3 linked regions of the Arabidopsis thaliana genome follow. The protein of the gene in region 2 interacts with the protein of the main gene of each other region in a pairwise test. Each region holds a gene or a part of one and is shown on either strand. Other genes may lie near its edges.

What was found.
Region 1: the proteins of WRKY27 (region 2) and AT5G48240 interact in a two-hybrid assay, tested with the Arabidopsis thaliana proteins (one large-scale study listed by BioGRID).
Region 3: the proteins of WRKY27 (region 2) and AO interact in a two-hybrid assay, tested with the Arabidopsis thaliana proteins (one large-scale study listed by BioGRID).

Annotation. Positions count from the first base shown.
Region 1 is NC_003076.8:19,554,278-19,564,481, forward strand, and holds AT5G48240 (Rrp15p protein), read left to right. Parts: upstream 1-4,965; 5' UTR 4,966-5,023; coding exon 5,024-5,467; intron 5,468-5,548; coding exon 5,549-5,650; intron 5,651-5,734; coding exon 5,735-5,816; intron 5,817-5,923; coding exon 5,924-5,943; intron 5,944-6,027; coding exon 6,028-6,088; intron 6,089-6,178; coding exon 6,179-6,243; coding exon of another isoform or gene 6,244-6,314; coding exon 6,315-6,400; exon of another isoform or gene 6,401-6,495; coding exon 6,496-6,550; exon of another isoform or gene 6,551-6,625; coding exon 6,626-6,721; intron 6,722-6,816; coding exon 6,817-6,876; 3' UTR 6,877-6,998; downstream 6,999-10,204. Other genes in the region: ACAT2 (acetoacetyl-CoA thiolase 2), read right to left, coding at 1-95, 175-280, 375-548, 636-734, 812-845; BBX8 (B-box type zinc finger protein with CCT domain-containing protein), read right to left, coding at 7,442-7,571, 7,656-7,957, 8,060-8,227, 8,315-8,836.
Region 2 is NC_003076.8:21,406,739-21,416,400, reverse strand, and holds WRKY27 (WRKY DNA-binding protein 27), read right to left. Parts: upstream 5,633-9,662; 5' UTR 5,406-5,632; coding exon 4,966-5,405; intron 4,886-4,965; coding exon 4,772-4,885; intron 4,676-4,771; coding exon 4,183-4,675; 3' UTR 3,875-4,182; downstream 1-3,874. Other genes in the region: AT5G52850 (Pentatricopeptide repeat (PPR) superfamily protein), read left to right, coding at 1-1,466; AT5G52840 (NADH-ubiquinone oxidoreductase-like protein), read right to left, coding at 1,607-1,803, 2,371-2,683. UniProt on the Arabidopsis thaliana protein: Transcription factor. Interacts specifically with the W box (5'-(T)TGAC[CT]-3'), a frequently occurring elicitor-responsive cis-acting element.
Region 3 is NC_003076.8:4,762,790-4,774,759, forward strand, and holds AO (L-aspartate oxidase), read left to right. Parts: upstream 1-5,473; 5' UTR 5,474-5,953; intron 5,954-6,326; 5' UTR 6,327-6,343; coding exon 6,344-6,471; intron 6,472-6,650; coding exon 6,651-7,002; intron 7,003-7,131; coding exon 7,132-7,374; intron 7,375-7,456; coding exon 7,457-7,513; intron 7,514-7,597; coding exon 7,598-7,678; intron 7,679-8,053; coding exon 8,054-8,115; intron 8,116-8,190; coding exon 8,191-9,223; 3' UTR 9,224-9,364; downstream 9,365-11,970. Other genes in the region: MYB66 (myb domain protein 66), read right to left, coding at 867-1,203, 1,411-1,540, 1,805-1,949; AT5G14770 (PPR repeat protein), read right to left, coding at 10,092-11,970. UniProt on the Arabidopsis thaliana protein: Catalyzes the oxidation of L-aspartate to iminoaspartate. Can complement nadB-deficient E.coli mutant. Plays a role in stomatal immunity.

The sequences.
Region 1 (10,204 bases), 1.9 Mb from region 2:
CACAGCTTCCCATCCCACAGTCGTTATAGACATCCCATAGTCCATCCTTCAACATTCCATCTACTAAAGAATCATGACCAAAACGAGATCCCTTCCTGCATCAAAATCCGAATAAGAAACAATGATGCATAGAGTAAAAAGACCAAATGATTCCGTAAAACCACATCATTTTACCTTGCTTCTGCCAAATATTTTGGTGTATTAGACATGCTTTCCATACCACCCGCCACAACTACATCATTGATCCCTAACTGGATACTTTGAGCAGCAATCATTACCGCTGAAAAACCACCAAACAAACCAGAAAAACATTGTCAAAAGCATCAAATCAAAAGTCTAAAAAATGCAGAGCGCAAATGTTCCAAAGTTCTCACCTTTCATGCCTGATGCACAAACCTTGTTAACTGTAGTACAGATAACAGAGTTAGGGATTCCTGCACCTAAAGCAGCTTGACGAGCAGGAGCTTGACCCAAATTAGCACTAAGAACATTGCCAAAGACAACTTCTTGAACAAGAGCTGGATCAACATTTGCTCTCTTCAAAGCAGCTAAATCATTAAAAACAACAACAAGGGCTCGTCAATTATACATAAAGCTAAAGATTTTGCACAGAAACATGAACTGTTTTTTAATACCTGCAATAGCTAAAGATCCAAGCTTTGTGGCAGGTAAAGATGAAAGAGATCCGAGAAAGCCACCCATTGGAGTACGTGCAACACCCACAATGCAAACATCTGATTCATCAACATTCATATATCAAAAAAAAAATTCATCCTTCAAATTCAGTTTACTAATGAAAGTGTTTTGTTACCTCTAGGATTCACAGATTCTGATGTATGGGCCATTGCTAATCTACAAAATGGTGTCAAAAGTCAACAAGGGACCAATCTCATTAAGAACCAGATCCCCTATAAACATTTGGGATCTATGTGGGATCATTTACCTTGATTCTTCAATTCCAGAAGAGAGCGCCGAATGGAGAGAGCTGAAAGAAGTGAGTCGTTGTGAAAATGACAGCGAATTCTACAATAAAACTGGAGAGAGAAACAGGGACAGAGGGTCCTATAAAAGAGGACGCTTTCTTGTGATGTTGTTGTTGTTGGTGAATCAGCGACGATAACTACGATGAAGAGCAACACGACTGCTATATGATCTGTCTTTCAAAAAATAAAATAAAAATTATCTGTACTTCAAACTCTTTAAATGTTTTAAAATAAATTATTGTTAAATTACTGTATCAACCCCTTCTTCTACATAAATCATCATTGATAGCAAATATATATTTGAAAATAATTGCACATGGAAATTGGAAACTTTGTTATTTACGCAAATCTTTATTTATTTTGTTTTGTGGAAAACGCAAATCCTTATTTAAGATATAATTTGCACAAAGAATCTTTATTATTTACACAAAATCTCTATTTTAAATATATTTATTTGTTGTTTGTTGACTCATTTAATATATGGTGGGTGGGTCGGCGATTGGGACGAAAGTTAAAGGGTAAACATTGGAAACAAATAATTCGGATGGTAAAAGATAGTATTATTCAATTTATTTTGATTCAAAGACGGGATTAAAATTTTGGGTTCTAAATTAGGTTCAAAAGTTTTATGTAATGAAATTCCACATTGGGACATGTATTTGGAGAACATTCTACTTTAAGATAAATATTTCTAATTTTTTGGGTATTTTGATTTTTGTTTGGAAAAGTAATATACTAAAATGGATAATACGAATACTCTCTCCCACACTTAATCCAAATGGATAGACATAATTGGGTGAGAAGGAAATCTAAATAGCTTTATTGTACATTCCCTTAATAGAAGTTAAACTCTTGAGTCTTCTTAAGTTAATAAATTTATTGTGGGACAAACTAAACCAAGATAGATTTTTGTGTTCATATGAGCTTGTTAAAGTAGAAATCTAAAATTGAAAATAAGATGGTTCATTAAGTTTAATTGTGCAAGAAATCGAAAAGAAGAAAATATTCAGATTGTCACCACGATTAAAGTGGTTCTTTGACTGGTCTCATACAAAGCAAAAAAAGAAGAAGAGAGAGTTAACACAAGAAGCAACTCCTAAAGATAACTTCCCTTCTTCTCATTATACAAATCTATATAAATCTATTTTAATGACAACCCTAAACATATGGGCTAATAAGTTATTTCTATGACAATGAGTTTTTATTTTGGACAAACTTCTATGACAATGATTAAGTGTTCCAATAACTGCAGTTTGTTTGACCAAGATTTTGATTCCAATTTTTAATTTTTATTCGATATGCAATTATTAAAATCCGACTCAACCCCAAATTACGACCCAAATTCAACTAACAAACACGAATGGGATGGAGATTGATTTTTTTTTTTAGTGAATTAGGATGGGGATTGATTTTCTGTCTGGAAATGGAATAGGTTGTTGGGAACGAAAAAGCAATCTACTAAATACTCTCTATTGTACCTTCCCTTGATACAAAAGTTAAACTCTAAGTTAATGAAATTGTAGTTAGGCCAAAGTTTTTTTTCTGTTTAAGGGCAAATTATAATTATTTATTAATTGTTTATCAAAAATAAAATATCGGTCAACGCATAATTCTGACAACCGAAGTAGAATGGTTATGGTATTGGCAACATAACTTATATTTATTTGTGTATGTCGGTATGTTATAACAATATATAGTGTAGCTAACAAGACATTTTTAAAGTATGCATGTGTGACTAGATGATGACATCTCTTTCGTATAAGTAGCAAACATTTATCCATTTTTGTGCTCATATAAACTTATTAACATAAAAATCTAAAATTGAAAATAAGATAGTTAGTTAAGTTTTATTGTGCAAGAAATAGAAAAGAATAAAATATTGGGATTGTCATCAAGATTAAAGTGGTTCCTTGATTGATCTCACCAAAAAAAAAAAAAAAAGAGACTTCTACGAGAGGCAACTCCTAAAAATACTTCTCTTCTTCTTATCACACAAATTATGAATCTGTTTTGATGGAAACCTAAACACATGGGTTAATGAGCTATTTCTATAACAATGATTGGGTTGCTCTACTAATTGTAGTTTGTTTGACAAAGATTTTTATTCCACTTTTATTTTTTGTTCGATAATTCCTTATCCAAACTTGATTTAAACCCCAATTTTGACCTGAGTTCAACAAATAAACGCAAACTTAGCGAACAGGATGAGACAAATTTTCTATCTCGAAATAGATTAAATAGTTATTAAAAACTTATTCTTTTTATCAGGATTCTTTTGTTCTATTCCTTTCACAACTTTGAATTCTTTGAAGCACTTTTGTATAAAATCACAATCATTTTGTTCAGATTTTGGGAGCTGGAACTGAAGTGTTGTTTCTAAAATCTTATCAAAGGGATGCATGTTGTATTGCTTTTGTGTCGCTTATTAAACTTTCAATTTGCACCCAAACGAGAAATAAGATCAAATCCTCTTGTTTTCATTTAGATTTGTGTTGACATTTGTGTTAGTTTCTTAGTGTAAAGGAACAAGTTTGTGTTGACATACATTCTTTCTTCGTTTTTTCAGTGGCAATTGACAGTTCCTTACTTGCTACTTCCTCTAAGATTGTCACTTACTTGATAAGATGAACAACGATGATGTAAGTTTCTTTTTTTTTTCTAATGTTATAGAATTGTATGATTGAGAATTGGATGTTTTTTCCTGAATTTAGAATTGGTCGGACGAAGAGTGTTGATATTTTCTTCAACTTTGTACTGCTGAGGAAAAAGGGAATAGAAGAAAGACGAGATTAAATATAACTGGAAAAGAGTCCATCATGAGATAGTTTGAAGAAAAATTTGGGAAGAGATATTCATGGGATAAACAATTCAAGAACAAGTATGATGTGCGTAGAAGAACATACACAAAGGTTAAAAACTTGCTTCATAACAGAACTGAAATTACATATGATTCTGTGTAAAGAATAAATATAATTTTTCTTTTCATTACGTTTACCTAAGTATTTAAGAAAGCAAGTAAACATACTTTTAATAACTAAAGGTCGCTGAAAATTCTAAAAATTGTAACGTGAATTCTCAAAACTGTAAAAACTGATTCTTTTTATTGTACCCTATATGTTAACGTTAATTCTCATAACTCTAAATTCTTATTTTTCCATCAAAATCATGACGTCAATCAAACTGTTAAAAGGCGAGATACAAATATAAATATTGTACTAATATTGTTAATCTGAAATATCTACTATTCAAACATATTTGTTTGAAGTATATCATATTACATGATACATTTTTTGGTGATGAATCAAATTGATGAATAAACATTTCAATATGAAATTTACTTGTTTTTGAATAATTATGTAATACTTTTTTTTATTAGTTATATTTTGTAAAAAAATATAATATTTTATTATAAATTTCATCAATTGACACATATTCATTCATGACAATTTTTTTATCAAGCTTGAGATCCTCAAAATGGTTTTATCATTAGTTATATTTAAAATTTTAACATTAAATCATAATAATATAAAAATTTGGTGTTTTTCAGTTTTCTAAAATTATAAATTATATTATTTTGGTATTTTGTATTTACCGTTATCGCACATGCTAGTTAACCAACTATAAAACTTCAACAAACGTAAAATTTAACCGCTAAATCAATCATTTAAAATATATGATAACTCTTAAAACCGCAACTCTCCGTTTCCATAAATTTCAGCAGTCTGCATTTGAACCATTCAAGCCTCGTAGTTTGGTCAAGAACCGATTACGCGGCCAAATCTTATATCCGACGCTAAGTCGCTAACCATGTGGAAACCATTATTTATCAATAGAAATCAAAACGACAAAACCCGACCTAAACCGAAATCTCAAATTCGAACCCAAATCCAACTTACAAACCTGACCTTAACCGGAAATCAGAATCCGAAAACATTTTCCCTTATAGCAAGGTTTAAAGAAAGCAATAACAAAACCCTATCTCTCGTCTCTTCTCCCCCAAACTCTCGCCGCCGTGATAACCCAAAGTTCTCGACGAAGCCATGTCTACCGGAGAAGAAGGTCACATGGCGATGGCAGATAGAGGCTCTAGAAAGAGAAGAGTCGGCGTTAAGAAAGGTACTAAAGCGGCGAGGAACAAAAAGCAAAAATCAAAACCTTCTACTTCCGATAGGTTTAAGGTTACAATGAAGAATCAAAAGCTATTTCAGAAGAGAGCACGAGATTACAATTCCGATGACGATGAAGAAGAAGATGATGAATCGAAGAAACAACCAGAAGTAACAATTCGTGAGAAGATCTTCTCTGATGCTAACATGGGACCAAATTACGAAGAGATTGGAGAAGAAGATAATGATGAGAATTCAGATGGTGAAGATCATGGAGAGATTGAATCTGGAATCACTAAGTTTGCTACTGATGGATGTAATGCTTTCAAAATCGCTTTTAAAGCTATTATGAAGAAGACTAAAGGAGATGATACATTGGTGAGATTTTATAGCAGATTCTAGTTTTGAGTTTTGATTTGGGAATATAGTGTTGAACTGTGTTGGTGTTGTGTGTAATAGGGCCCAGTTTTATCAGCACATAAGCATCTTATTGGAGAGAAGCTAGCTGAAGATGAAGCTGAAAAGAAAGCTAAAGGTCAAGCTAGAAAGGCTAAACATTTGGTATGAGTTTGGTTGTTGTGTTCACTATTCGTTTGTGTTCTTGTGTTTTAGATGATGATTTATCTTAACAATTGCTTTTTTAAGATTGCTGAGAAGGGACATGTTAAACCTGGAAGTTATTTGGATTCTCATGAAAAGATTCTTATTGGTGTTGCTACTAAAGGAGGTATTGTTGCTTTGGTTAAACTCTCTGTTTCTTGAGATTGTTTGGTTTTTTTTTTTTGTTTTAGTATTGACTCTTTTTTTCCTCTCCATGAACTTGTGGTATCACAGTGGTCAAGCTTTTCAATGCTGTAAGTTTGTTTCTATGTCTATTTTTGAGGTTTTTATTCTCCGGTAGTGATTCGTATGATTCTTAGTTTATGTTTTTCAAATAGGTCAACAAGGCTCAACATGCTCAGAAGGGTTTGAATCCTTCAAGGTCTAAAGACGCTAAAGGTAGGCTTAGAAATTGATCGTTGGCATGAATCCACTGTCTTGTTCTTATCTTCTAATTCTCGTTTTTTATCCTATTGGAACATCCATCAGTGCTGAAGAAGCGAAGAAAAGAAGCATTCTTGTCTGAGTTAGGGAAAACAAAAACAGACACCAAGGTTTGGCATAGTCTCCATATCTCTTACTCTCTCTCTTTCATTATGATTTATCTTGAGAGTTTATTCCTTAGCCGTTTGATGCACGTAGAAACAAGTTAGTATTCTGTCTTGATCTAGCTCCTATAGAGAGTCACGAAAAGAATCACCTCATGAGTGAGTGATAGATGTTAGTTATAAATCAGAAGTATTCTTAGTAAATTACTAGTAACAATTTTGAATGTTCTTAAAGCCTTCAACTTTGGATGAACATAGAAGCAAGTTAGTATTCTGTCTTGAGCTGGCTTCTATAGAGAAAGGATCACCTTCAGTAGCGAGAGCCGTTAGTTATAAGTCTAAAGTATTGTTGGTTAGTTAACTAGTGATATTCTGTTGGATGGTGCAGGCTCACAAATCTGAAGACGAAGCTCCTGTTTGGGCTCCTCTACGAGATAATTACATGTTAGCAAACCCAAAACTGAAGGACTGGGACAAGAAACAGGTATCTCTTCATTCTTATCCACAAATCTGGAATCACATAGCTTGCATACTGATTTATACTCTTTGATCTGAAACTTAAAATTGAATTGTCCGCAGGAAACAAGCGAGGGAGATGATTTTGCCGGTTTGTCAGGAGATGAAAGTTATGAAGACTGAAGAGTTTAAACTAGTAGTTAAACGAGCAAACTTTAATTTTGCCTTTGTATCATGCAAATTTTGTCTGATCAATATGAATGAATTCAGTTTTTTGATAGTGCAAAAGGATCCTGAAAGGTTGTGATTCTTGTGGTTACGCTTTTAGAAAATACACTTGTTAGTATCATTAACCAATACCGTAAATATAGAAGTGATGATACTCCAAACTTCTACATGGTTATTATTTATATGACGTAAAAAAAATATACATTCGTTGTTTTGCCTTGGCTACACAAATTATAATAGGACAAAATTTAAGGATCATGAACCTGAATCTGTAGAAGAGTTTCTAGTTTCACAGTCAAGTCATGATGCCAAATGACAGAAGAAGATAACAAACTTTATGCAAAAAATGAGGCAGAACTGCAGAAGCATGCGCCTTTCTAAGCAAGTATGACGCTTTTGAGGCGGAGAACTCGTGTTCCTTTTCAACCAATAATGGCTTCCAGATCCATCGCTGCCAATTAGTTGCATCTCTGTCTTATATCTCCACTTTGTGATCTTTCATTGTTTTGAGGTTTTATCCTCAGTAGCTTCTTGTTGGGCTCATCGGGTCGTAATCATAAGCTTCACCGGACTTGACAAACCGTCCTTTCACACGCCGTCTCACATCAGCCCTTTCTTTCCTAGAGACATACCTTACTCGCTTGTCAAACCTATTTATACAAAATATGTTAAATATTAGCTATAACAACTTTCAATGATGAATTAAATTCCTTTCTGTGTGCGTTTATACTTACTTGCGAGCCTTCTTCTTTTCCTTGTAACGCATAACAGCGTTATTACGTGTTGTTGCATGTGAGGAAGCAATAATGTCCTGTGCTGTTGGATGGCACCATGGTTGTGGCTCCCTTGAAAGCTGCTTCATCGATGACGCCCCACAATCTTGGAAATCTCCAGCATTACTTTCTCCAGTGATGCCAGAGAAGGAGATATTCGAATGTGCTGGCTTTGATGAATAGCAAATTATTGGCTCGGTTCTACAAGTCATGAACGAATCTGCAGATGCATTATTGCTTAATGCTGGCTGCTGCATTGAGCCCTGAATTGAGAAAACACACAAAAGAGCATAAGGATCACAGAAAAAAATCATCCTTAACTTTAGTGATACTAGTCTCAGATAGAAGAAGAAGGTTGACAAAACCTCATGAGCTTCATCTTTCTCGAAAAGACTTCCAATTCCACCGTGCTCGAAGAGATATCTTGATGAGTTGAAGGCTGAACCAAAGAGTTCTTCATAGTTCTCAAGAGCCAAGTCTACTTCATCTGAAATGAGATTTCCATTGAAGTCATCCTCACATACTCCAAGCTCCTACAACCAGTACAATAATAAGAAACATTTAGACGCTAGTTGCTTTCAAGATCTTACCACAATATGAAGAAAATCATGTTAAAATACCTTAGCCATTGATGAATTTTCTGGAACACTAGAGTGATCCATACCTTGTGCAGCCGAACTGGTTTCAGGCTGTTCTACATTAATTTTTTGGACACCAGATTTTTCTCCTGTGCCATCTTCATCTATAGTCATCAAACCCATTCCTTGCTCACAAGCGGATTCTTCAGCAGAAGAGATATTCAAATCCATACAGAAAGACCATATCGAGGATAATTCGGCACTCGAGGGACAACCAGAATAACAATTGATGGTTTGCCTTTTATGATGTGAAGTAGTAGTAGAATTCTTGCCGTCATGGCCTGACCAATCACAGTTTTGACATAGAGAAACCCTCTCATCACTACACCGGACAGAAGCTGGCTGTGCATTACACCTCTCACATACCAAAGTCCGCGAATGACGTTTCGATAGAGCATTAGCAGAATGAACATTACGGTCACACGAAAGACACAAACACGCTGCATCAGATCGACAATACACCATTGATCTTTGTTCACCACAGAAATCACACATATAACCCATCTTTCAACCAATCTCAACCGTCACACTGAAGAAAGCAAGCTCCTTTCACTAACAAAGAATCAAACCATTTTGGTTAGTCCCTTATATCATAATCTTAGAAGGAAAAAAACTTACCACAATACATTAAACAACTAACAAAAGCTTGAAACTTGGTATCGAAAGCAAGTCCAGAATTAGATAAAAGTCCAATCTTTTTAAACATCTCTTCCTCAAAGATTGTAACTTCCTATGGATGAGACTGTTCTAAATCAAAGACCAATCAAAAGAGACATCAGAGAAACCAATTAACATCGCAGAAAGACTTCAAATTTCAGATCAACATGTACCAATCAGAGAAGTGAGCTAAAAAATTATAGATTTCTTATTACAAATCCGAGAGAAGTGAAAGAAGATCCATTTCAAGATCAGTCAAAAAGGATTGAGAATCAAAGCAACCCTCACTAAAATAACAAGACAAGGGTTTTAAAGAGCTCACGTAGGAGAGATCGTCAAGTATCTTCTGAAGCAGAGACACCAAAAATGAATGACTTTTGAAACGAATAAGCGATGATTCCACAAATTTCTTCTTTAGCTGCGTGTGAAGAAGGGTAAAAGGAGAAACAGATGGATAGACAATGGGTGGGTTGTGTCTGCAAAGGGACATGTAGGCAGAGGCATGTGACATAAGCTGATAATTCTAGAAACATTGGGTAAAAAGTTCAAAAGAACCCATTTTCTAAGGACCCTAAAGATATTTTTATGAGTATGAAGTCACGCGCTCGCGTGTAGACAAAGAGCCGTACTCGCGATCTACAAGGCACAAGTGGAACTTTTCCGATTCTGGATTCTCAAAAGCGTCTTCTTTTAGATGCTTTAAGGCTTAAAAGCCCAATCACAACAATAGTCTTTGCTTTGACTTTACAAAAAACCAAAATATCTTAATTTGAGAGACGCACATGAATGAACAAAATATCTTGCCTAAAAAAGGAGATATTATTTTTGTAGGTGAAAAGAAAGAGAAAGATCAAATATAATATCTGGCAAATTGGAAACGTCTACACAAAAAAAGATATTTGTGTATCTGTAACACTGACACGCGCAGGTCGGTGTCCACTCTTACTTATATTATTCAATTTGACAAAATATTAGTACATTAATTTGAGTTGAAAACTTTTAATTTGAAACTATGTACACTAGATAGTCACAATGCTAGTGTCAAGTATTTCATTTTTTAAAGACTTTTCATTCTTTTTTTGCTTCATGTATTTTTTTTAAAAAGTCAAAACCTTAATAGGCTAATTTTTTAAAATAAAAAACAGCTTTAATTGATAACTAAATAAGCTAATTGTTTTTAATTGAATTTGTAAATAAATAGACTTATATATATAA
Region 2 (9,662 bases):
GGTTCGTGCAAGATTGTTTTGGACTGCTGATGGAGATGGTAAAACGAGAGGTAGAACCCAATGTTGTTACCCTATCCGGTGTTCTCCGAGCCTGTAGCAAATTGAGACATGTAAGGCGGGTATTAGAGATTCATGCATATCTACTCAGAAGACACGTAGATGGTGAAATGGTAGTAGGGAATTCACTTGTCGATGCATATGCCAGCTCGAGGAAGGTGGATTATGCCTGGAATGTGATTAGGTCGATGAAAAGGAGGGATAATATCACATACACGAGCTTGGTAACAAGGTTTAATGAGTTGGGCAAGCATGAAATGGCACTGAGTGTCATCAATTATATGTATGGTGATGGAATCAGAATGGATCAGTTAAGCTTACCCGGGTTTATCTCAGCTTCAGCCAACTTGGGCGCTCTTGAAACTGGGAAACATCTTCATTGTTACTCCGTGAAATCCGGGTTTTCTGGTGCGGCTTCGGTTTTAAATAGTCTCGTTGACATGTATAGTAAATGTGGTAGCTTGGAAGATGCAAAGAAAGTTTTTGAAGAAATAGCTACGCCTGATGTGGTTTCTTGGAACGGGTTGGTATCTGGTTTGGCATCAAACGGTTTTATTTCATCTGCTCTATCTGCATTTGAGGAGATGAGGATGAAAGAAACCGAGCCCGATTCAGTAACGTTCCTGATATTGCTCTCTGCTTGTAGTAATGGAAGATTGACTGACTTGGGCCTTGAGTATTTCCAAGTAATGAAAAAGATTTATAACATTGAGCCACAGGTAGAGCACTATGTTCATCTAGTTGGTATCTTAGGTCGTGCTGGACGGCTAGAGGAAGCAACAGGAGTTGTAGAGACAATGCATTTAAAACCAAATGCTATGATCTTCAAAACGTTGTTGAGAGCTTGTAGATACCGTGGAAATCTGTCTTTAGGAGAAGATATGGCTAACAAAGGCTTAGCACTTGCACCATCTGATCCAGCCTTGTACATTCTTTTGGCTGACCTATACGACGAATCTGGAAAACCAGAGTTAGCTCAAAAGACTCGAAATTTGATGACTGAGAAGCGCTTGAGTAAAAAGCTAGGCAAGAGCACTGTGGAGGTTCAAGGAAAAGTTCACAGCTTTGTCAGTGAGGATGTTACTAGAGTGGATAAAACGAATGGGATTTACGCAGAGATAGAATCGATAAAGGAAGAGATCAAAAGGTTTGGTTCACCATACAGAGGTAATGAAAACGCAAGCTTTCACAGTGCAAAACAAGCTGTTGTGTATGGTTTTATCTATGCGTCACCAGAAGCCCCGGTTCATGTTGTTAAGAACAAAATTCTGTGTAAGGACTGCCATGAGTTCGTGTCCATCTTGACTCGGTTAGTCGATAAGAAAATAACTGTAAGAGATGGGAATCAGGTTCATATCTTTAAGAATGGCGAATGTTCTTGCAAAAGGGAAGAAACATCATTTGTTTAATAAGAGTGATAAAACATTTGTGAACAGACATTGTTATCGTTATGAAAATTATTAAGCAATTTATTCAGAGGCTTGACCACTGATTCGGAAACAACTCTAGCCAAAAAAGCAACAAGCACACAATATGTAAAAACTGGAAGTTACTCCTTCAACTGCGGATCGCTGGGTGTAGCAGCTGGGATCTCTGTTTTAGACTCTGCAATTAGACCTTCAAGCGTTTTATAGAACTGCTCAGGAAGAGGACCAGGTCGGTGCTGAGGAACATGCTTTGGAATCGGCGCATCATTCTCAATCACTTCACACTCGTAATCATCTGGTACACCCCAAGGATCCCACTCTGCATATGCAAAAAGAACAAATTACAACTCCATGGTGAAGAACATGTTGTAAATGACAAAATCAGAACAAATAAGCCATCATTCTAAAACCATTGGAAGTATATTGCAACCAAAGAATGTGATAAGTCTCAAACAATAGCTACTTGTAACCTCGCTCACATGATTATGAAGATTCAAAAGAGAGTACAAGCAATAACACTAATGTACAAATAACTACAAAGCAAGAAGATGACCACACACCTACATTGAAAGCAAAAGCCGTTCCAAACTAAAGTGAACTATGCAACCATTCACTCATAGCCAAAGTTAGCAAATTATATAAAAACCTAAACTTTTGCATTCCCTTACTTGTATATCAGTTTTCAACACACACTTAAACTCAATAGCCCAATAAAAGGGTCACCTTTGCAATGCTCAGTGTTCAGATTTTGCAACCTAACAATCCACAAAGCCTCAGGATTCAGATTCTCAATTACAAAACCCATTTCTCAATTTGAGTGATTATCGCAACAAATCAATCTATATTCCAATTGTTCTCAATCTATATAGGCAACGAGAGTACGAACCAATCATTTTCCCAATGAGTGTGAGCTCATCGCGAGCCTCTTCGATAAGCTCTTCGACTTGACCACAACCAAGCCGCTTCTCAATCATCTCCCAATCTTCTTCTTCCTTGCACACATTGAGACGTTGGCGCGTGAATGATTCCACCGCTTTACGGTACCCTTCATCCTCCGGCACAGCTTGGATCTCCTTTAGGGTTTTGCTGTAGAGATCGATCAGCACCGCTCTCGCGTTGGGAACAACGTCAAGCCCGACGATCCCCGTCGTCTGCTTCACTTTAGCCAATAATGGCCGTCCGATTGCCCGTAGAAACATCTCAACCGTTGGATCGCTCTCTCCCTCTCCTTGACTCCGGCGCAATCTCAGAAATGTTGTTTGTAGTTGTTTACAGTGTCAACTTTCACTTGTCAGATGGAGAAAGCGAAAGAAACTATGGGCCGAAATTGAATTTAATGGGCCTAATTATAAAATAATGGGCCTTATTAGTAATTGATAGGAGTTTGTTGCTTAGCATTAATGTGATTGACATATGATGGATCTTGATTTTTAAGCATAATTATTACTTAATTCTATCTTTTTTTACTTCTTATTAATTTTAATTCAATTGTAATTTATTTATCTATTAAAATATCTTTTTTTTTGTGAGTCGGGACCATTAGAAAATATGGCCAACTCTTACGTTGGATATTTTTTTTTTCTAAAAAAGAAACACTTTTTTTCCTCGATTTGTTTTGATATTTTTGGTACATTAAATGCTTGTTCACTAAAGTAATAAGAAAACACTTTTAAAAACCTAATAAAGATAAGACAATCGAGAGAGGTAACAACTTGCATGCCCATCTCTCGTCATGAGAATCTGGACCGACCATAGTATATGATATTTATACAAAAAAATTCGTAACATCTAAATCGTCATAGCCTTATTTTAAATTATAGCAATAACGACCCTACTTTAGTTAATTCCAGAGACGTTTAATTGTCTGATTTTTCTAATACGACGGACATAATGAAATAAAATATGTTTGACCGACGCTTCGGATTACGACAAAAAAAACTTTATAATAAAAAAAGGTTGACCATTTAATAGAAGGCAAGGCACAAGTGGGACTAAAGACGCCAGATTTAGGGTCTTGTCTCGTGAAATTAAAGCCAGCGAAAACCGGACTCGTTGTTTCCGGTCTGAACCGTATTAACTGTCGTCTAGCTATAGCTTCTCTTCCCACATGATTATTTCTCAATTATTACACTAAACTGTACCGATTTGTTTTTAATTATCTCGACATTAAATGAAAGTGAATAATACGATACGATTTTTTTAGCATGGTTCTCGCTGCCAACTTTTTTTTAACTAGGCACATTAAATTAGCTTAACTCTTTAATTCGTTTCAGAATTAGCCTCTATTTATTTTTCTTTTGTCAACCCGTATTGACCTTTACAACACTAAAAATAGAGGGTTTGACAAAATTTGTTGCTTTTTGGTATTTAAAGTATCACTAGTTTAGTAATACAGATAAATTCATAAATGAAATAGGAAAAATGAAAAGATGATTTATACATTTGGAGCCAAGAAACAGCTTTGGTATATGCAATGTCAATTCAAATCGACCAAATGATTAAATCAAGACTAATTTACTAATTTTAGCTATGAATCTAAACAAAGAACAATTATGATTAGTCTTTCTTTCTCTGTCTCTTCTCTTCTATATATTTTTTTATAACACAATAAATGTCAAGTTTTAACAAACAAAAATAATAATTAAAAACTGACTTTTTTCTTTTTGTAAATTGTAAATTGAGATTTTATTCGTTTTCATCATCCACCACCGTCACCGGCGGATCCGGCGGACCAAGATGGAAAACTTCCAGCGAAGAACAAATCATCTCGATCTCTCACCGCTAAATTTGGTATCAAAAGATCATCCACGTCATCATCATCTTCTTCTTCTTCATCATCTTCTTCCACTTCTTCTTCCTCCTCTTCCTCTTCCATGTTGACTTCTTGACCAACCATATCTTCATCTCCATTCGTTTCTTGAACGTCATCGTTTCCTTTCAACGGTGTCGTCGGAGAAAGATGAATCTCTTCTTTTACTGTATCCGATAAAGGAGATGTGTCCGGTTTAGGAACCGGGTTAACGGGCTGAGATTTGTTACGAGTACTTCCGGCGAGAGAGTTCCGGTGAGTAGGACGTGGATGAGTGTGTTCTCCGGTGTAAGTAACGATGAAGATATTAGGATCTAAATTACTTCTTTCAACTTGTTTTCGTGCTAAACATCCTTTTGAGCTACTACATCTGTAATAATTCCTGTTTTATGTAATAACTCGATTAATTAACACATTAATTAAAAAAATGTTAATATTTTTTTCTTGAGAAAATTTTGAAAAAAAGATTGATGATAACCTTGGATAAGGAGAGCCTTTGATGGGTTTTTGACCGTATTTACGCCAAGCCCACAAATCAGAAGAAAGATTCTCTTGCGTTACATGACATATGGTTCTTTTTTGCTGATTCTTTCTACAAGCAACAAGACAAAAAAGATAATTAAAGAAAGAAACTTTGAACTAAGAGATGTGTTTAGTTCGATATGAACAAACCTTTTTCTAGATCGAAGGGGAGGTTGGGATTGTTGTTGAAGAAGCTGGTCGCGTTGACCTCTAAAAACAAAGACAGAAGAAGAAGTGGATGGTGGGAAAACCCTAACACTAAGAGGAGGTTTTTGATCTTGTGATTCGAGAAGTACTTGTTCTTGTTTTAGTAAGATATTGGGAGATGGTGATGAGGCTTTAGGAGGAGGAAGTAGAGGAGGAGGAGACCAAGTAGTAGTAGTAGTAGTAGTAACGGGTAAAAATGGTTTGCAAGAATCTTGTAACTCGTTGCAAGAAGAAGAAGCTTGAAACAGAGGAGGAGGAGGAGGATCTTGTTGTTGTTTACAGTTTCCTATGTCGTCTTCATGACCAGCACAAGAATTGGTGGTGGAAACAGAAGAGCTGCAGCTTCTGACGACGGCGAAGAGATCCCAATCCTCGGAGGACATGGCGATCTTGAATTCGTGAGGAAAGCTTCTTTGATTATGTTGGTGAGAGGAGGAGAGAGAGGAGGAGACAAACTATGGCGTAAAGGACGGCGCTGACTTTTTCTTTGTCGAAAGAGAGAGAGAGATTGGGGCAGTGTCCGAGAGGAATCGATGGGTGTGGGAGAGAGAGCACTTGACTTGCCTATTCTTTTCAATTATTTATACATTTGACAAAAAGAAATTTTTTTAACTTTTGATGGGTTTTCATATCTTCTTTTCTTTCCTCTTTTTCACTTATTTATACTCTTTTCAAAAAATCATATATTATGTTGTACTCCATCATCGTATATTTGTTAATATTTGAAAGAGTACCAATAAGATTCGGTAACTAATAATTTATACATATATATTGTGAATAGATTTTACAAATGAGGTTGATCAATTTGTCTTTTCACTTCAATGATTTAAGTTTGCTGAGTGATAAAATAATGATAGAGGAAAGTTTGTTTCTGTGTAACTAGAAAACAGATTTACGATAATGTTCTTATACCTTAGGAAAATGCTTCATGGTTTCTGTCTTTCTGAACAAACAAAGCATGTAAGACAAAATTTCAAATTTACCACCAACCACTAATGGTAAATCAATTTAAGATTCAGTCAGCAAACAGTAAAACACTAACATGTATTGTAAGAATTTTAACTTAATGGACATTCCTATCAATTTTTTTCATTTTTTTTTTTCATCAAACAATGGACATTCCTATCAATTAAGGACTAAGGTTGAGTGGTAAACTGGTAATGATTTGGTATGTTGGCATTTAAGAAAATTATTAACTATTCGGTAAAGTCAGGTTACTAGGTGACGCGACTAACATTGTTATAAAACGACCACTAGCCCTCAAAAATCTAGTTTTACAATTCTCAAATCTCATTAAAATAACGAGGAAAATAATAAAATTTTAGCAAGTACTATCAGATTTTCTTGCGAAAACAAGATTTATCTAACTAATGTATGTAGTATGTTTTTTCACTTTCCAAAATATAGATGCGAAGAAAATATTAATCATGTCTTTTAAGAAAAAGAAATACCCGCTAGGTTTATTAGTTTAGACTTTTATCTCCATGTTTTATTAAACCCAACATGTTTTTTTTTCTCAGGGTTTTTGTTTATAAATCCATGATTTTTGTATTTGGAGACAAACTAAACATCATTCTGTGATGATATTGAATCAATATACTTTATAGTACAAAATTTTGAGCAGTAGCTTATAGTATGTTTTACAACTTGGTAGTTATCCAAACAACATTTCTCCGGTACACAAAATATACATAATTAGTTTGTTTTTAGCGTGAATGTCAATGCTGAGATATACACAAGAACAAGAAGAAATATTAAATTGTTTTAAACGTACGTAACGTAAGTAACATTGTTCAGAGTTCTCATAAAAGAATCCAACAATTTAGACGTTTTTTAAAAAAAGAATCCAAGAATTGAATGGTTTAAAATTGCATATATATATATATATACAAGATCAATTCTAGATTCCTCCTCCTCACAAAACGAATCTCATCACTGATTTAAGAGATATTTGTATGATTTAAAATGTTCACAAGATCTTACAAATTAAAAGGTAAGAAAGCACGAATATCTCAAATCATTAGGCCAAAAAAAGAGAGAAAAATTGCAAAATTGTGTGCTAGAAAATAAAATGGTAATGGTACAAATAATATTCGAACCAAACAAAGCACTTGTGTCACTCTCTACTTTATTTTTTTTTCCATTTTTAATTTTTTTGTTATCTCACAGACACAAAGAGTTCTCGTAATTTCGTAAGTGGAATTTAGATACAGATTCTTGTCCTCTCTCTCAACAATCTTATCCCACAAAAGCTGCTTTAATTTTGACTTTTTTAAACCAAGTCAAAGGTAGGGACCGCATTTGTTTTGGCGTACAGTAGCAGTAACAGCGCAGGATAGTGAGTCATATTGCGATGAAAGGTAATGATTGTCTGCTTCCGTATATATTGGCTTCCTCTTTTCTGATTCGTCCGTTTATCTGAGGTGCCTCTGGGCCGTGCGATTTACTCTTCTCTGTTAGCAATCAACATGTAATATTATTCGCCGTATTTTTGTTTTATTCAATTCCTTCATTCTTATAAGAAAATAATTATGTTGGTAAGAAACTAATTTCAAAATCACAGTTGCCGACAAAAAAAATAATAATTTCAAAATTATTGTGACGTAACTAAACAAAATTTCCAAAATTCAAAATCATTTTGAAAAAATTATATTCTTGTATACTTCCAAAAATAATTTAAGAAAATTCTCAACGTTTTTAAAACGTTTGTCTGACACTATTTGTATTTTTGCTCATTTGGGACTTGAGAGATTTTGTCTTTTTTTTTGCTGTATACTATGAGAATTCTCTTGTCAAATTACAGGCTTAACAGCTGATTACGAAAATTTAAAACTACTATATTTCAATTCGAGTTTAGCTTTCTTTATATTTAAATAATATTTTGGTTTATGTTAAATGTGAATATTGTATAACAAAATTTGGTTTAACAATTGTAATTATATATTAATTATGTGTTTCATAATAGAACACTTATGGAGTATAAAATAATGTTCAAAATCCTATCGTAAGGAGTAAGGACCCACACTTGCACTATTATTCACTCATTTTGTTTTATGTTTCATTTTATGTCATTGACCACAAATTAATTTATATGTATAAAAGACATTTATTTTTAAATGTAAAGAAATGCGTAACGACAGCCTTTCTAAAGAGTTTGATTGAATTTTAAGATTATGAAGATCTTAAAATAGATATCGAAGACGAAAATAGATTTCCTCAGCTAAATCTCAAAAATATCTAGACATCTTAATGCCTCAATATAGTATTCAAGATGCCATTAATATAACGCTTTAACTTGTCTCTTCTAGATAAAACAACTATTTAGGTCGGGGTTTTAAAGATTTAACCCTTCTTTTTTTGGCAGCAAGCTTTATTTATGTGACAAAACTCATTCTGATATATGAGTACTACAAGTTTGCTCTACTCATCTCAATTTCAATATCAGTACTTTAGATATATTCTACAATTCAATATTAATGACATTTTTCTAAATAAATCTGAATACTAATGTATACTTTTACAAGCCAATGAATCGTTTTTGATAGGATTAATTTTACTTCTAAATCAGATTTATTGGTCATATCAACACGAAATTACCCCAATTTTAAACAATATATATATATATATATATATATATATATATATATATATATTTTTTTTTTCTATCAACAATATGCATGCATTATACAAATTAAAACTCAAATAAACTAAACAACAATAATATGTATTAACACAAATTACAGTATTACAAATTATGGAAAACACATAATGCAGAATTTATGTACATAAAACGACATTTACAAACTTCTCCGTTTGGCTAGTGACTTTCAATGGAAAAAAAAAAATACTAATCTAACAGCCATTAGATGGTTACTTCTCAGACAATATATATTCTATAACACATCACAATGCACCATTACGGTTTGATAGATCGATATTTATGGAATCAATTAACAAAACCAATAAGAGGAAGAGGGATGGGTCCATACATGACACGTGAGGTAAACGACAACATGGGATGGATTCTTTGCCAATTCCTAAAAATATCATTTACATTTTCCGTAAATGTTTTGGTTGAGATATTTGGAGTTATTATCACTCGGAATTTCGTATCCATTCTTTGCTTTTGGTTGTTGTTGTTGAATGAAATCTTTGCTTTTCTTAAAGATGTTCTTTCTTTACATGCTTAATTTATCATCCAATTGAACCTTTTACAAAATAGAAAGAACAATCTTTAAGGACATATTGTTGAATTTATTGAAAACTTGCAAAAAAAAATTGTTTTTCGTTAGCAGTGATGTGCTATACAATTGATTAAAATTCCATTTTTTTTTTCATTCAAATACAACTAAAAGGATATTTTATGTTTTCCACGTTATTTTAAATGTCCTAATCCATAAAATTACTGTATCATTAGTGGTTCTATAAAACATTAGATAATATTTAAGCCACAACCTGCATAGATCAGTCTACATAAATGGTTAACCTCAATGATTTAACTACAAGTATTAATGGTTTTAAATCAACTCGGGATTGGTGTAATCAGGTGAAGACAGGACCATCTTACGTCACAAGCTCCCCACTTCTTGTCTAATGCCAATGAAAGGCTGAAACATGCATGTGTTGGTCATGTGAGTGGG
Region 3 (11,970 bases), about 17 Mb from region 2:
GATTGATACTAACCTCTTCATTTCCATTATACTTATACATGACCAACATGTCCCCATGTCGATAATCGAAAACCTTCCTTTAGAATTAGAATATATATACTACTATAGTTTCATGCATTGTATATAACTGTCTGAGCAATTATAATCAAGGAAGGAGTGGGGGACAAGCTTTCAAAGAACATATTAAAAACCAAAGACACAGAACATAAATTAAACTATTAAGAAGGGGGACAGCTTTGTCATAGCAATTTATAGAATTTTTTAGGGAAGTGTGACAATTTGACCCATTATATTGTCTGACTAGTATTAATTTTGTTCGTTTCAAGTAAACTCGCCAGGGCAATCAAGGTTTCTGTCTAATTTCTCGTTTACATACACATTAGCATCGTTTTAACTACAATCGAAATTTAGTTGACAAAAAGGTACGTAGTAGTATCCACTTAATTGGAAATTTCTTCTTTTCAAATTTGAAGATTAATTAAGGGACGTACGTCTCAAAGTAAAATAAAAATAAAAATAAACTATACTCCTTCTAACCTACCGTTATCGTTCGACTCTTTTAATTTTAGCTTATATCTTGAACCAACATTTAATAAGATTATATGAACAATTCACAAAAGAAAATCCAAAATTTTGCTTAGGAAGAAATTGAAGAAACATTTAAAACATTAATCGATGCATATAGAGTTTTTAAGCATATACATTAGAGTTAACCCAAGAAAGTTCACCTAATTAATAGACTTAGCCAATCATACACTACCACATCAACAACTTTTAATCTAAGACTGTTGATGTATTAGTGTTTGATCAGCTTTGAAAATAACAAAACATAAACGAATACTAAAATAACAAAAGCAGAAAACACATCAAAAACAGTGTCCATCTATAAAGTCCATCATGTTGGTGAGTGTGCTAAGCTCAAACTCATCCTCATGAACCCAAAGTGAACTCAAGTAGTTACTTCCTTGATGATCTTCTTGAATTTCATCTCCGAGGATATTATTGTTATCGACAATATTCGAGATTTTCGTTTCTTCTGATGTTTCGGTAGGATTCGGGAGATTGATTTGATAAACAATATCACCATTGCTCTGTTTGGTTTTCTGATCTTTGATTCCGAGTTTCTTACTAAGATGCGTGTTCCAATAGTTCTTCACTTGATTATCCGTTCGACCCGGCACTCTTTTAGCAATTAAAGACCACCTAATTAAACACACAGATAAACAATATAATTATCATGTGAAATATAATGTATTGAAATTTTGAGAATAAAAACATGTGTTACCAAGCAAGTTTGTGAAGACAATCACGAATATTTATGATTATTTAACTTGATACAAAATGGATAGAAATAGCTGTTTTTATGATTAATTGAGTAGAGAAACTAATTTTGAGCAAATGAAGTTATACCTATTACCAAGCAACTTGTGGAGCCTAATGATAAGATCCTCTTCTTGCTCGGTGAAATTGCCTCTTTTCACATTAGGGCTGAGATAATTCATCCACCTCAATCTACAACTCTTTCCACATCTCTTTAAACCTAACACACATATACAATTATTTAACTGAGGACCTTAATTCATAAAAATAAAAACAACAAAAAGGTGACCCTAGATAAATATCCTGATTCAAGTTGCTTTTGCGATATATGGACTCTATTAACATAGATTAAAAGTTAAATCTAAAATAACATATATAATATATAGAACCTTAACTTTAAACCATTCGTAAAAGAAAATCATGTGACAAAGAATTCATAAATTATGTCAATACGATTAGAGAGAGAGATAGAGAGGAAAGAGACCAGTCTTTTTGGCAATACGATTCCAGTGACCTTTGCCATGAGCTTTGACATAATCCATGAGGATTTTGTCTTCTTCTACTGTCCACAAACCTTTCTTGTACTCATTGTTTCCTTCGTCACCACTACTACTTACTTTCTTTCTCATTCTTTTTGTTTCTTTGAATGATAGACGAGAGAGATCATAAAACGAGAGAGATAAAGAGGTTCTTTTGAGTAGTTATTTGACGGAGTTATTAATAGTAGTACTACAAGTTCAGAACCTAGTGGAATATTTATGTATAAAGTATGAATAATATTTAATAAACGATATACTATTGGTATAAATACAAGTATTAATGATTATAGACTTATTTTAGATATTGACATAAGGTATTGATTGTGTCTAGCATGTGATGATGATATGTAAATAATAATGGACTTCTGAGATGCAAGCTGGTAATTACTGATACGGATTAGTTTAATGACTTAATCTAGATTTCTAACTAAAACATGAAAACATGGACCGGTTAAGATGGTCTTGGGAGACACAAAAATCACGTGTATGTTTTAAAAAGATTCGGCTTTGATCTTAGAGCTTTTCGGCATCGAAGTTTCATGTGTCAGGGCTAGTGTTTATATATCTTCTTGAACCTTGATTAATTGAAATGAATCATAAGTATTTTTCTTTTTTAAGAGATATTAGACCGAAAATATCAGGGACACCATTATAGTTAAACTTATGAAACCCAAAGTGTTTTGAGACCATTGCAAAAGACTAGATACACATCGCAAATATAAAGGAGGTTGTGAAGGTTCTTGCCGCAACCCATTGGAAGGTGAGAAGGATAGTAACTGGCTGGCTCTCATAGTTCCATCAAATTTTTTATGTATTGTTTCTCAACTAACCATTAATTATAATAGTGTTGTTATTTTCATCAAGTAATAGTAGTTGTTCGTTTTGAAGTTTAGATACTTTATTTATGAGATACCAAGTTTATATGACATCCTTTATCAGAAAATACATTGATTAGAAAATGAAATGCCTCGTCATTTTTTATAATTATTTTGTAGAGTGATACCCTTGGACCAACGTCCGGGAATCTTGGATTAAACGATTTCCTAGAGTTAATTTTGTAAATTTGGTTACTAATTAAAAAAAGAAAAATGTACAATAAGTAATTGATTAGTGGCATGAGAGTTAGGAATTGTAGTTAGGGGAGATATTCAATTAGAAGATGGTTTGACACTTTGACTCTCTTGGGATTAGGATTCTTCACGGGGAAAAAAAAACAGTGTTATTGTTAGAAAGAAAGAGAGAATAGAAGCTCCTTCTCTTATCATTAAAATTTCTTGATCTCTGTGCCCCCACCAAATATCTTTAATTTACGTATAGATACTATTACTATTGATTATTGAATTTATAATCACGTATATTGTTCATATTTTTTTTCTGTCACATAGCATGTGCGATGGATATTTGAAATTTCCAATCTGTGTTGTAAGCAAATATTAACTTTGTTTGAAAAAAAAGAATTTATTTTGTTGATATTTTTGCTATTGTACATCTTGTTTTGCTGACTTATTTATTCAAGATTAACAAAATGATTTTCTTTTCAGTAATTGACTATATCAGTAATCTTATCAGCAATATGACAAACAATAATAATAAGATCCATAATTAATATTTTGCATCCATAACTAAGAATTAGAGTTTTCTGCATACAAAATTCGAATGATCTATTTGGGCATATCACATATCCAATGATACTTGTACATGGTTTTTTTAAAAAAAATATTTCTTCCTAATGAAAGAAAAACAGAGGCAATGATATTTTGATATAGCTGGCACATTTAAAATTCTAGACATATTAAACTCTTAACGCTGGAAGTTGAGGCAATATATAAGAGGGGTAGTAATTTTATATACAACATTTTATTGTCATAACTATATAAGAGGAGTGTGTATTTTTACATATAAATGTTATAATTAATTATGTCGTAGAATGTATGATTGAGGAATTTGATGGACCTAAGTACCTAACACTCATTTATTCACAATCTTATCATTTAATTTTGTTTGATTCTAATATCAGGTTTGATATTCTATACATGGCCAAGGAATTTGTGATTCACAAGTTTACCATCTTTTCAAAATCATGTAATGATTTATGCTACGAACTAAATGATATATTTAAATAGACTTTATTTATGTTAATTATATAATATGATAAATATAGCTAATTCTTATTGATACTAATTATATTGTTGAGGTTCTATCATTAATTTACGTGGTGAAACTGCAATTTGATTTGCGGAAATGATCTTATATCATTAGAAGGAACAACTAGGACACTGCTCTTTTACATATGTGCGAGTTTTACCAATAAGATATTGACTAACTACGAGACGAACATTAGTATTTGCTAATGTGTTTCGCTGATTTTCTAGGTTTTAGTCGTGACGTGAAATTCAGTAAGAAGCACAACGAAATGCCATCGGCTCATGTGTGTGAAAAAATTAAAAATTTATGGGCTGAACAATTCTAATTGCATGATGATTCGGGTTTAATTTAGGCCTCTGGAAAATCCAGGGCTTATTTCCATGCAAAATCTTAGGTCAGTATTGGGCCCGCCTTTCAAAAGCCCAATTTTAATTATTCGTTTTTGTTGTCCGATAAAAAATCCAGAAGAAGTCATCTCTCCCCTTAAAAACGGTAGTCAAAACTAAAAGACTCAAAGTGATTTCCAGTAAGTTTTGTAGAAAATAAAATAATTGTGGCCATTGGAGATTTAGCAAGGCTCATGGAAAAGTGATTGTTCTTTTTTCCCCATGATTCTAGTTATAAGGCCATCCTTGATGCATACATCAACACCATGACTGGTCCAAAATAGCATAGGTCTAAAGATGATGAAGCAAATGATAATCAGTTTATTCCGATAGAAGCAAATGAGGATGTCATCAATTGTGGATGTTATACCTGATTAGTTAAGCAAACCATTAGCACTATGTTTAGTTAGAAAAGAAGGAAATTATGATAGCCATAAAAATGCCAACATTTTCCCTTTTAAATTGCATTCGTGGTTTTTGAAATTTTATTATTTAATTAATTTGTTTTCTTTCAGTTGTCATTTGAATGGTTATCATAATTCGGTCTTATATTATTGATTTTTATTATTCGTTAGGTTTTTTTCAGTTGTCTGATGGAAAATTCAGAAGCCACCACTTACAAATCAAAAGTATAAAAAAAGACTCAAAAGAAGACTCCAAAATCCAAATAGTTTTTCTCCATTTTTTTTTTCTTTTTCCAGAAATTATAGTTATAGAAATAAATAGTTGTGGCCGTTGGAGATTTGCATTGGCCACGAGTCATGGAAAAGTGAATGTTCTTTTTCCATGATTCTTCTAGTCGGTCATGCTTGGTGCATGTATGAACACATATTTAAAGTTCTATACAAGTTGTTAGAATTCTTTTAAATTTAATTTGCTTTATTTATTTTTTTAGTTTTAGTTTTGGAAAATCATGGTCACACATCTTGAGCTACCGTTGTTATTTATATATAAATGTTCTTAATATTAAAAAATTATGAACCACAGGGCTAATAAACTTGAATATTTGTAGGGTCAATGGCTTTATTAATGTGTATATTTGTAGAAGAAAGCTGGGAAATATTCTATAAGTAAATTATCATCTTATACACTAATTTTTTAAAAATCCACGCCTAGTAATAAATTCCAATTTTTTTTAACTCAGTAATAAATTCCATTTTTTATTAAAAGTTTATTTCATAGAAGTACTTTTTTTTTTATGTGATAAAAGAAAAACTGAAGAAGGCCAATGAAAAATGAAGATCCCAAAGACATAAAAAGTGACAAAAGAGAAGAATAAAGAAAGACCAACAACACCACTTGGGGGAGGCTCCCATACACAAAACGAAGGCGCGAATTTCAAGGACTCTTCTCGACGACCAAACCACATAAAACACTCTTACCAGAATTTGTGTTGTCTTCGTTCATTTCCTTCTCCTCTTCTTCTTCTTCTTCGTCGTAATTTTGATTGTTTCTTTGCGAAAAGTCGTTTTTTTAATCAAGTCTGAATCACGTTTTATTGATCTACACTCGCGTGGGTTCTCCGTTTCGTGCTTAGATCAGAGAGCTCCCTCCCGTGATTCCGTAAGATTTCTGCGTTTCTCATTACTTGGTTTCATTTCAACGTAGATTCTGAATTTTGTGTGATCTAGTCTACACATTTTTTTTTAATTCTTTCCTCTGCTCCTAAATTCCAGAATTCAGACAACGGTTGCGATATTTCTTATGTCTTTTTTTCTATCGTTGTTCATTTCAGAAGTTTCGATATAAAAAAGGTTATTGTTGGATTTTGAGTAACACATTGTCCTCAATTCTCATCGTTCTTCAATCAAATTTTGGATTTTGAGCATCATGGATGATGGATCTATGCATTTTGATTTTATATTGTACAGAAAGAATGTTTCTTGTTTTGTTTTGATGATGTTTTCTTATGACAACAATCTTCATGTTTTTGTAGGAGCTTTAAGGTCGGAAATGGCGGCTCATGTTTCTACTGGAAACATTCATAATTTCTATCTTGCGGGGCAGGTTTACAGGGGACAAGCTTTTTCATGGAGTTCTGCTTCTACTTTCATGGCAAATCCATTCAAAGAGCCCTCTTGGTATCACTTCTTTTAATCTTTAATCCCAAATTTTGTCCCTTTTGTGTAGCAATTGGCATTTTGAGGTTCATGTTTCTCATTTATGATTTTGCTCTTTGTTCTCATGTAGAACTTTAACTAGTTAGACCTATAGTTTCTCATGCTGGACTCAAACTTTTATAATCTCTGTGTGCATATAGGTCAAGTGGGGTATTTAAGGCTCTAAAAGCTGAGAGATGTGGTTGTTACTCTCGTGGTATTTCCCCCATCAGTGAGACCTCAAAACCTATCAGGGCTGTTTCGGTATCTTCTTCAACAAAGTATTATGATTTCACTGTGATTGGTAGTGGAGTAGCGGGTCTGCGTTATGCTTTAGAAGTTGCAAAGCAAGGAACAGTCGCAGTGATTACCAAAGATGAGCCTCATGAGAGTAACACAAACTATGCTCAAGGTGGTGTTAGTGCTGTGTTATGCCCTTTGGATTCTGTTGAAAGTCATATGCGGGACACTATGGTCGCTGGTGCTCATCTTTGTGATGAAGAAACCGTAAGAGTAAGTTCCCTTTGTTGCTGATCATTACCTCAAAACTGTTTGATAAGTGCTTGTGTTAGTCTCGTGCATAAGCATTTTGTAATGGTCTAAACCTGTCTCACTTTTCTGTATCTGAATGTTCTTTTTCAGGTTGTGTGTACTGAAGGGCCTGAAAGGATTCGTGAACTGATTGCAATGGGAGCATCATTTGATCACGGCGAGGATGGAAATTTGCATTTGGCCAGAGAGGGTGGTCACTCGCATTGTAGGATCGTTCACGCTGCTGATATGACAGGAAGAGAGATTGAGAGAGCTTTACTTGAAGCTGTACTTAATGATCCCAACATATCTGTCTTCAAACACCATTTTGCAATCGATCTGCTCACTTCTCAGGTTCCACTTCACACCCTTGAAAAACACATGTGCATATATGATCAATTGGCTTATCAGATCATATCTTTTTGTATCTTAACAGGATGGCTTGAACACAGTTTGTCATGGTGTGGACACTTTGAATATCAAAACTAATGAGGTACACAAAGATCTTGTTTCTGGTGGTTTGATCATTCACCTTATATCTTAGATTGTAATGTAAAAAAAACTCATGTTTCTTCAGGTAGTACGCTTTATATCGAAGGTGACATTGCTTGCTTCAGGTGGAGCTGGGCATATCTATCCATCAACCACAAATCCTCTGGTAACATTTTCTATAGACTCTCTTTTTAACAAAGCTCTATGGAAGTTTCATTTTACCAATTTTATCAGAAGAAAGAATGTGCAGGATCAACACAACAGTTTTGTGTGTTTATGGGAAATATCCAAAAATGAAACTTTGATTAAGTAATGTGATTTATCCCTTGAATACAAAAGAAAATGTCGAAATTATCACGGGTATACACAAACATACTGCATTAGAGTTTTAGATTTAATAGTTCAAACAGTTGCAGAAACAAAGAGATTTTAGTCATAGAGTACATTTTTTTGCTAAATTCGGTTGTGCTAGTCGCAATGATATTTCTCTAAAAGTGATATATTATGCTCCATTTTAATTATCGACATGGTTTTTGTATAGGTGGCTACTGGAGATGGGATGGCGATGGCTCATCGAGCTCAAGCTGTGATCTCAAATATGGAGTAAGTGAACACCGAAAAACCGACTGAAGAAACTTGTTGACAATAAACTTATGTTTTGTATTTGTTTTTGGTTAGATTTGTGCAGTTTCATCCTACTGCCCTAGCCGACGAAGGTCTTCCCATCAAACTACAAACTGCTAGGGAAAACGCGTTCCTCATCACCGAGGCGGTGAGAGGTGATGGTGGCATCCTCTATAATCTAGGAATGGAGCGATTCATGCCTGTTTACGATGAACGAGCTGAGCTTGCTCCAAGAGACGTGGTTGCAAGAAGTATTGATGACCAGCTTAAGAAACGAAACGAAAAGTATGTGTTACTTGACATAAGCCATAAGCCAAGAGAAAAGATTCTTGCCCATTTCCCGAACATAGCTTCTGAATGTCTTAAACACGGTCTGGATATCACCCGTCAGCCTATTCCGGTTGTCCCTGCAGCCCATTACATGTGTGGAGGAGTTCGTGCTGGTTTACAAGGCGAAACCAATGTCCTTGGATTGTTTGTAGCAGGTGAAGTAGCATGTACAGGCCTCCACGGGGCAAATCGTCTTGCTAGTAACTCGCTTTTAGAAGCTCTGGTTTTCGCGAGACGGGCTGTTCAGCCTTCGACTGAGCTCATGAAACGCACAAGACTTGATGTATGCGCATCAGAGAAATGGACAAGGCCTGTTGTTGCGACAGCTAGATTGCTAGGAGATGAAGTAATAGCAAAGATTATAGCTTTGACTAAAGAAGTGAGAAGAGAGCTTCAGGAGGTAATGTGGAAGTATGTTGGTATTGTCAGATCGACAATTCGGCTCACCACTGCTGAGAGGAAAATCGCAGAGCTAGAAGCAAAATGGGAAACATTTTTGTTTGAACATGGATGGGAACAAACAGTGGTAGCTCTTGAAGCTTGTGAGATGAGAAACTTGTTCTGTTGCGCTAAGCTTGTGGTGAGCAGCGCGTTAGCTAGACATGAAAGCAGAGGTCTTCATTACATGACAGACTTTCCTTTTGTGGAAGAAAGCAAGCGGATTCCGACGATTATTCTACCGTCTTCTCCTACAACAGCTAGTTGGAGCTCAAGGCGGTTACAGAATATAAGTAGCAGCTCACTTATTGATTGCTAAAACTGCAGGAGTTTTTGTTCTTATTTGAATCCAAACCTCTCTGATTATTGTATCAATTTGAAAAAATTTGGATCTCAAAAGGAATCTCTGATTCTGACACTCTGTAATACAAAAGGAAATAAATTATTCATTTGAGATATCAATCATATTGGTAATTCATATTTCAATTCCTTTGTTATGGTTTATTGATGACTTTCTGAATGAAAGAAACAACTGTGAGTGTGGATTTCCCAAGCAAGAAGCAGGATTGAGAACAGTCTTGTGTTCACTGACTCCATATCCTCGGTTCCTTTTTTTTCTGAGTAAATCATTCCAAAAGCTTCTATCCTTCTCCTGAGGAAATCACGAGCTCCAAGCTCGGGTATGGCTTCCATGACCAGACCAAACATGAATTCATTCTTCCTGTCTTCTTCAACTAGACCAGGGTGTGATCTGAGAAGGCTGCACAAAGGCACATCCATTAATAATCAGAGATCTCTTCTGCAATGTCGCTTTAGAACAGCCTAGTTACTAGTTACATCCAGAAACCAGCTAGATCATAAGTCTTGCCTGCTCTGCAGCTGCCATCGCCGTTCTGCTACAATGAAATTCAAAGGGTATTTTCAGGAGATAGTTTTGGCTCGTGCAATTTGATTTAACAAAGAATAAAGATATCCTGAATTACAATGTGAAGAAGTACTATGGTGCACCATAATCTTACCAGCACTAACCCAATTGCGGAATCACAGATTCACAATTGCTTAGGTGTCCTGTTTGGAGCCAAATCTGCTACTGTAGTATATATCTGAGAAAATGAAACATTTGAGTAAAGTTGCAACTGAAAATAGGAGGAGACTAGTATTGGAAGGATGAAACAGAATTACCACGTTCACGAATTTGAGGAACGAGCATTCTTTTTCTTGTAACACTCCTTTAAGAATCTTTCAGCATCAACCTTCATTCCAGGTTTAGAAAAGGCAGCACTTATCCAGTAAATAGTTTGATTACACGGAATATATCCCTTTTCTTCAACCATCTCTTTTAGCAACCCTTTTGCCTCTGCTAAGTACATTGCTTTTTTATTCCACTCAACGTCTGGATGAGTGCAAAGTTTGCACAAACCAGATATCATGGTACAATAAGTCGAAGTATTGGGGCTCACTCCTCTCTTACCCATCTCTTTCAATAGCTCTCTCGCCTGAAGCATCTTCCCAACGTTAGCAAATTCACTAATAAGCACATTATAAGTGCTGGTTTTCGGTACCAACCCATCCGCAATCATCTCACAATATATCGTCATACTTCCTTTCATATTCCCTATCTTAGCTTGACCAGAGATTAAAGCATTGTATGTAAAATCGTCAGGGCGCATACCTCTACTCTTCATCTCACTCAGCCATTTGTCCACTTCCTTTATTAGCCCAGCATCAGAAAGACCTCTTATTATAGTATTATAGGTTGCAACATTTGGGGATATTCCTGCTTCCATCATCACAGAATATGTCGAAAGAGCTTTTCTTACATGACTGCCTACAAAGTACCCGTGCATAAGGGAATTGAACGTCACAGTATCAGGAATAAAGCCTCTCGCTTCCATATCCCCCATAACCATAGCTGCCTTTTTCGTCATACCTAGTTTGCACAGAGTTGCAATAAGAGTGTTATAAACTTGCCGACTGAGTTTAATCCCATAACTCAATAGCGTCTCATGCGTTTTGAATATAGCATCAGCTCTTTTATGCTTCGAAGACGTGTCAAGAAAAATCCGGTATGTCGTTAAGTTAGGATGGATCTCCATAAGCATCATTTGATTCAATATGTGAATTGCTTCCTCCATTTTACCGTTTTCGCATAGCATTCCAACCACAATATTGCAACTCATCAGACTCGGTTTTATTCCACAACTCTTCATCTTATCCCAAAGCTTAAGGATACCTTCCGAATCCCCTTGCTTTCTTTGTGAATTCATCATTATGTTAAATGTAGCAATATCTGGTTCTATACCCTTCTCTCTCATTCCTTTGTAGGCCCAGTCTGCTCCGACTTTGCCAAACTTTAACATCCCACTGATTAAGACATTATAAGAAACAACATCCCACGGCATCCCTCTCTCTTGCATTTCTTCAGCCCAAGCAAGAGCAGCTTCTTCGTCTCCTCCTTTGAAGAATACATCAATTAAAGATGTGTAGTTAATCTGATCCAGCGTCACTCCTTTAGATACCATGTCTTTGACTAATCCCTTAACTTCCTTAATCCTACCAATTCTCTTCAAGTGGTTCACCAGAGCATCAAGTATGTAGTTGTTTTCCTCCACCCCAATCAGCCTCATTTCCTTACTCAGTTCAATTGCCATTTCTTCTTTCCCTGCCTTAAACAAGCCATCAATTACTGTACCATAAGTAAAACCATTCGGCACAACATTTTGGTCCTCCATTTTTCTCAAAAGACTAACAGCTTCTTCGAGCATCCCTTTCTTCACATAGCCGTTTATCATACTAGAGTATGTTACAACATTCGGAATAACACTTTTCTCTAACATCTGCGTTATGATAAATTCTGCACTGCTTAAATCCCCCGCTTTGCACAACCCATCAACCAAAGCCGTATATGTAACCACATTTGGAACTTGGTTATCTTCCAAAAGCATCTTAAATGTTTTCTCAGCCTCCCTAAGGTCCCCAGCCTTAAACAGACCATCCATCAAAACAGTATATACAACTAAATCTACAGGTATCCCACGCACAACCATCTGACTGTAAAGAGCCAAA